Linked DNA regions of Sus scrofa. The protein of the gene in region 1 purifies or fractionates together with the protein of each later gene. This does not show direct contact. Links are inferred from orthologs where the notes say so. Each region holds a gene or a part of one and is shown on either strand. Other genes may lie near its edges.

Region 1 (3,518 bases):
GATGGTCAGGGCATGTGTGTTGTCACTCTGCTTGATGTGGGGCTTCCTGGGAATGGGAGCTATGTCCTTAATAAATGTCTAACCAGAGGGGAGAAGCTCATGAACAATGTGACAAGTGGGAAAATAGAGGGCCATGTTCTTGTTCTCTGGCAAGTGACCAGGACAGTGGTGGGGATAGAGAACAGGGTAATTTGGGTCTGATGATGTGAACAGTGGCCGTGCAGCTGCTCAGGTAGGCGGTGTTTGGAGGAGGGAATGTTGAGCAGCTCTCTGTGTGGCAGGTGTTAAGGGAGGGGAGCAGGTGCATTGCCCAGTGGAGGACCGGAAAGCCTTGGCCGGGGTGGGGCTACTGCAGCAGAAAGAGGCAGGTGAACCCTAGTGGCCAAATGCAAAGATGTGTTTGCACAGATGGTTGCGTATTTACTGGTGTTTCTGTGGGACGGTAGGGAGAGCTCTGGGCTGTGACTTCAGTGGGTAGCTAAATAAATAACTCTTCTACATAAAGCCCTACATGCCCTGTTCATTTTCACGTGAAGATTTTTAAAACTGACGACTTACCCGTAGTAAATCCTCAAGTGCGAGTGTGGAGCTTGGTGACGTCCCACGTGCACCATCCAGAAAAAGGTGCAGGGTAGACTGTGCTCCAGAGACTCTCAAGGCGCCCCCCATAGCAGGACCGCACCCCTCCGGAAGGGACACATTGCCGCCCTGACCCTCTGGCACAGCTTCATGCAAATGAGTTCTCACAACGCAGACTCACCCGGGCTATTTGTGTCTGTGGTTCTCACTGAGGTTTAACCCAGAGGCATTTGGAAGTAGAGGAAACCGTTCTGTCATTACTGGCTCCTAACTTTTCTCACAGCTTTATTTCCAATTACTGATCACTTTCCTTTTTAAAAAAATTAGTCGATTTTCAGCGTTCTGTCAATTTCTGCTGCACAGCAAAGTGACCCAGCCATACGTCCATGTACAGTTTTTCCACATTGTCCTCCACGATTTTCCATCACAAGTGATCAGAGGGCCCTGTGCTATGCGGCAGAATCATTGATAAATTTCCTGTGATAAAGTTTTGTTGTGACTTTGGAATTTAGTTGATTTTGGTGGTGTTTAATATCTATTTTGAGAGGATTCAACACCACATCTCAGTGTCGGGGGAGAACTTTGATGGAAAACAGGCCTGTGTCCACTCTCATGTGCAAATACATGTTTCTTCTTTAATTCATTAGTAACATCTTGAACCTTGGGCTTTTTTACATTTTTTTCTTTAAAAGTTTGAGAACACAGCGGTTCAGGCTTTAGGAAGCCGTGGAGTCGGTAATGTCATAGGGAGTGTTGATGCGAGCAGAGGCTGGCCTGCACTTTTAAAGATTAGGTTGGGGAGTTCCCGTCGTGGCACAGCGGTTAACGAATCCAACTGGGAACCATGAGGTTTCAGGTTTGATCCCTGCCTTTGCTCAGTGGGTTAAGGATCCGGTGTTGCATGTGAGCTGTGGTGTAGGTCGCAGATGCGGCTCAGATCCCGTGTTACTGTGGCTCTGGCGTAGGCTGGCAGCTACAGCTCCGATTGGACCCCTAGCCTGGGAACCTCCATGTGCCGCGGGAGCGGCCCAAGAAATGGCAAAAAGACAAAAAAAAAAAAAAAAAAAAGATTAGGTTGGGTGATTTGGGCCCCATAGCATGAATTTCTGTATTTACACATGCCAAATAAAATGTACGGCCGTCAGTGAAGTAGAAATAAAGAGGAGTTCTTGCCCTAATTCTAAACGTTATCCTGAAACCTTAGGTCCTTTTGGTGTGAACCACGGGGTGGAACTTCATTCGGATGTGATTGAGTACGCAAAGCAGAAACTCGACTTCTTCATCAAGACAAGCGACAGCTTTGACAAGTAAGGTCAGACCTGTCTCTGGGTCTGGGTGTCAGTCATAACTTAAACTTTGGATTAAATGGAAAGAAGTCAGTTTATTAGTGTTCCTCCTTTTCCAGCAAATGTGATTAAACTGTGGCAGGAGAGTCAGTGGTCTGTTCTAATGAAAGTATTTTGTGTTTTTAAGGGCCTTAAGTTTAACTCTGATACCTAAGTAAAGGTAATTTCTCACCAGTATAATAAGGGAAGGAAATAGTTTATTTTGATCAATTTTTATGTTTACAATGGAGACATTTTATCACCTACTTGCTTCTAAAATCGAGTTGTTGGAATTTGTCTTTAAATGGTACCGTATGTAACTAGCTCTTGCCATTTTAAAATAAGGCATTGGAGTTCCCATTGTGTCACAGCGGAAACGAATCCAACTAGGAACCACGAGGTTGCAGTTCGATCCCTGGCCTTGCTCAGTGGGTTAGGGCTCTGATGTTGCCGTGACCTGGGGTGAAGGTTGCAGATGCGGCTTGGATCTTTTGCTGTGGCTCTGGCGTAGGCCAGCAACAACAGCTCCGATTCGACCCCTAGGCTGGGAACTTCCATATGCTGCTAGTGTGGCACTAAAAGGACAAAAGACAAAAAAAATAAAATAAGGTATTAAAGTTCTTATTTTAAGGATTAAAATTTTTAGAAAAAAAATATATGTTTCCCTCATTTCACTTGATTAGTAGACCTTGAGTGGGAAATAGAATAAAAGATAGAAGATAAGATAATAAAGATATGAAATAATAAATATAGAAAGTAATAAGTTAATAAGAACAGAGCAAAGATAGTGATGACTGGAGCTTGGGTGATTGAAGCTTGTATCATGCTTATGATATTGATTTACATAATATTTTATCTAGAAATTCTAGGGTTCTACTTATTAACAGCATAATTCTGAAGCCTGGCATCTAGCTGCTGGCTCTAATTTTACTACATTGCTGTGGGATCGTAGAGAGAAAACACAAGCTGTGTCTACCATTGACTTACTCGGTAGACGCGTCATAATGTGATGCATTTAGTTGTGCAAAACATTTTTTGTTTTCAGGTTTGACTTCTGTGAACCCTCCTTTGTTACTGGCAACTGCCTGGAGATCTCCCCGGACTGCTCCCAGTATGACCGCGTGTACTGTGGGGCCGGCGTGCAGAAGGAGCACGAGGCGTACATGAAGCGCCTCCTCAAAGTCGGAGGCATTCTGGTCATGCCACTGGAGGAGAAGGTCAGACTCCTCGAGGCCCTCGTAACCTTCCCTCCGTGTCTCCAGGGAGGAAAAAGGCAGGTGTAGGTTGTAGGGACAGTGGCGCTGGGGCGGAGTCCTGAGAGCCCGGGCCCTTCCTCTCCACCTCATCCTGCTCCTGCACCGCCCTCCACAGCAATCTCTTATGCTTGTTCTGGCCTTAGTGTCACTCTACACGTATGGAAATTAATGGAGTAATTCTACTCTGATTGTTAGTCTCATTGTTAAATCCACGATGGCAACTCTTCGCAGAATCTCTGGCGTGGTGGGAATCTTGTCCGAGTCGGTCTGGCCGTGCCTGTTTCTGTACGTTTTAGATGTTGTTTCATTGGGAAGATCAGATTGTAGTAAATGAGCCAGTTAATCAGACATGAATTGG
Region 2 (3,518 bases), on another chromosome or scaffold:
TTTCTAATACCCAATTCAAACCTGAAGATTCTTATCTTCATTACCAAAGCACACTAAAGTCACTCTCCATGTAAAAGAAAACATCAGGATGGATACTATAGCATGGCTACTACCTCTAATCATTTTTCTAAAATAAGGAGCTTACAACGTAAAATCAATAAAAACTATATAAAAGACTAATGTTCTTCTATCAAGTAATTAATATTTTTATCTCATGACAAGAGGAAGTTGGAAAATACCCTCCCGTAACAGGAAGAAATATCCCTTAGTTATAACGGTTTGGTGCTCACTATTCAGCATTTGCAGCCATTATTTTATAAAACATAATTACCATGAATACTGAGAATCAACTATATCTCTTGGGAGTATATTTTATTTGCTACATGAAAATCACTAAATGGTTAACTTTTATTTATTTTTGCTTTTTGATTTTTTTTTTATTACTCAAAAAAAGCTTCATTTTTTTAAATTTAGCTTTCTGACTCTGCTTGTGCTTTCAACACTTTCACAACAATTTTCTGCTCCTCAATAAGGAAAGCACGCTTGATCCTGTCATGCACACACTTAGCACACATGGAACCACCATAGACCCAGCTGACATGTTTTTTTGTTTTTGTTTTTTGGTTTTTGGTTTTGAGAGTTGCAACGTTTATTTCAGGTTCTCTCTCTTTCTGGATTTTTTTTTTTTTTTTTTTTTGCCACACAGGCAATATGTGGGAATTCCTGGACCAAGGACTGAACCTATACCGCACAGCAGCAACCAGAGCCACAGCAGTGAGAACGCAGGAGCCTCAACCCACCAGGCCTTAGACAATCTCATTAAGAACTTTAGGTCTCACAGCACGAACCCCTCAAAGTCGGCCTGGGCACACACCACATGGCAATTTTGGTGCTTTCCCAACCTTCTTGGTATAAAGGTAAATAATTCTATTACCAGAGGTTCGAGACATCCTGATTTTGTTAGAGACTGTGTTGTAGGACAGTCTATAGACAGTATGTCAATTGCTGGACCATTGTGAATGCCTCTGGATACCGTCCCCAGAAGAGATAACATCGTTAACTTTATATATGCATGAAACATAACAAAAAGAGACTGATTAAAAATTAAGTACTGTAAATACAGAAAAGTCTACAGCAGGGATAGCAAACAGATTTTTTAACACATCAGCTCTGAAAAACAGAATTATGAATAAGGTGCCTCCTGAAGCTGTTCTTTGGCTCACTGGGAAAGAGTGCTAACAATCTATAAGTAATACTGGTCACAGAATCTGAGAAAGGAGAAACAATGTTACTTGCATCATGTATTTGTCAACCCTCAGCTACTGTGCTTTAAATAATCTCAAAGAATAAACAATTACAAAATTACTTACTGCTTCAACAGAGTTACATTCTCGTCTTGTTTCTAAATAACGTAGTGCTCGTTTTTCTTCTTCTTTTAATTTAGCGTCTGCCTGTCCAGAAGCAAAATAGCAATCATTTAAAGAATATCAAGAAAATAGCTCAAATTTTCACATATACTAAATTCTGACTTACATATTTCATATAATTCTGTACACCATTTTGTTGTAAATACGAGGGTGCCTGTGTTCTATAAAATCTCTCTGTTGAATCCAAGTATGCCTTCTCAAAATTGTCCCTATAAATTTGAAGCTTATCCTCTGGATTAGAACAAAGGTTAACTGAAAAACAGAAAAAAAATTTTACTCTAATTATGATTCAAATCAGTATTTTGGTACAATAAATGCAATAACAAATACTGAGGAGTCATTATGTTCTATGGATTGTGACAATGCTCAAGAGAACACACAGTCATATAAAACAAAATTCTTCACTATAGGAAACTTAAAAAGAAAAGAGCATAAGAATTTCTGCTGTGGCTCAGTAGATTAAGGACCTGACACTGTCTCTGCGAAGATGTGAGTTTGCCCCCTGGCCTCACTCAGTGGGTTAAGGATCCAGCATTGCTGCAAGCTATGGCATAAGCTGCAGATGTGGCTTGGATCCTGCATTGCTGTGGCTGTGACATGAGGCCACAGCTGCAGCTCCAATTCAAACCCTGGCCTGGGAACTTTCATAGGCTGCAGGTGTGGCCCTAAAAAGAAAAAGGCACAAAGCAGTAAAGTGACAAAGAGTATAACTAACATGAACTATTTTATTTTTGAAGAGAATGACTTCTAACTGGATGATCAAGAAACCATTTGCATGGAGTTCCCATTGTGGCTCGGTGGAAACTAATCCAACTAGGAACCATGAGGTTATAGGTTCAATCCCTAGACTTGCTCAGTGAGTTAAGGATCTGGTGTTGCCATGAGCTGTGGTGTAGGTCGCAGACGCGGCTCAGACCCCGAGCTGCTGTAGCTGTGGCGTAGGCAGGCAGCTGTAGCTCCAATTCGAACCCTAGCCTGGGAACCTCCATATGCCATCGGGTGCGGCCCTAACAAGCGAAAAAAAAAAAAAAAAAAAGAAAAAGAAAAAGAAAGAAAGAAACCATTTACAGAAAGATGGGATTTGAACTGAATCTTAGGAACAAACTAGTATTTATATTGATTAGTAAAGTTAATATTCAGAAGTAGAAAAACACAAGATCAAATCAAGGTATAATAACTAGGTTGAGTGGACTGCAAGGTTAATAGAAGATAAGGTAGAATGGTAAGTTAGGAATGGTTATGTAGAACCATTAGCATGGTGTACCAATAAATGGCTAAGAAAAAAATCAATAAAATGGTACTTAAAAATTAATCTTATGACAATATATGCAGGTTAAATGACAGGAATAACATCACAGTAAGAATACTTTCAAAAGTCTAGACGTTGAATTTAAAAGTCTAAACTGGTGGCAACTGAAATAAAAAGGAATAAATTTCAGGGACATAGCTAATGAAAATCTACACTCAATACCTAAAGAAATAGGGGAGTTCCCGTCATGGCGCAGTGGTTAACGAATCCGACTAAGAACCATGAGGTTGCGGGTTCGATCCCTGCCCTTGCTCAGTGGGTTAACGATCCTGCGTTGCTGTGAGCTGTGGCATAGGTCACAGACGCGGCTCGGATCCCACGTTGCTGTGGCTCTGGCGTAGGCTGGCAGCTACAGCTCCGATTAGACCCCTAGCCTGGGAACCTCCCATATGCCGCAGGAGCGGCCCAAGAAATGGCAAAAAGACAAAAATAAAAAAATAAAAAAATAAAAAAAAACCTAAAGAAATAAAAGGGCAATAGAAAAATCAAGTCAAAGATAACTAAAGATTAATTAACAGAAAAAATTCTTACTGCCCACTACTTTGTGTCAGACATTTTGTGTTCAGTAAAAATATAGTGTCAAGAACACAGTTAATTACAAGTCTTACAACAGAAAACACAGTTGTGATGGAGCACCTTAACCTAGTCTGGGAATTAGCAAAGGCCTCCATTTGTAAACAGAGGATGAAGATGAGTTAGAAGACAAAGGCACGGAGTTCCCGTCGTGGCACAGTGGTTAACGAATCTGACTAGGAACCATGAGGTTGCGGGTTTGGTCCCTG

Evidence for each region. The genes of interacting proteins can lie anywhere in the genome.
Region 2: the proteins of PCMTD2 (region 1) and CUL5 purify together in Homo sapiens (affinity purification with mass spectrometry; 4 studies listed by BioGRID and IntAct, counting the BioPlex papers as one, with this or other methods). This does not show direct contact. The link is inferred for Sus scrofa from reciprocal best matches to the Homo sapiens genes PCMTD2 and CUL5.

What each region holds. Positions count from the first base shown.
Region 1 is NC_010459.5:63,035,772-63,039,289, forward strand, and holds part of PCMTD2 (protein-L-isoaspartate O-methyltransferase domain-containing protein 2), read left to right. Parts: intron 1-1,783; coding exon 1,784-1,886; intron 1,887-2,949; coding exon 2,950-3,121; intron 3,122-3,518. UniProt on the Homo sapiens protein: May act as a substrate recognition component of an ECS (Elongin BC-CUL5-SOCS-box protein) E3 ubiquitin ligase complex which mediates the ubiquitination and subsequent proteasomal degradation of target proteins.
Region 2 is NC_010451.4:36,454,288-36,457,805, reverse strand, and holds part of CUL5 (cullin-5), read right to left. Parts: intron 1,680-3,518; coding exon 1,534-1,679; intron 1,452-1,533; coding exon 1,371-1,451; intron 1-1,370. UniProt on the Homo sapiens protein: Core component of multiple cullin-5-RING E3 ubiquitin-protein ligase complexes (ECS complexes, also named CRL5 complexes), which mediate the ubiquitination and subsequent proteasomal degradation of target proteins.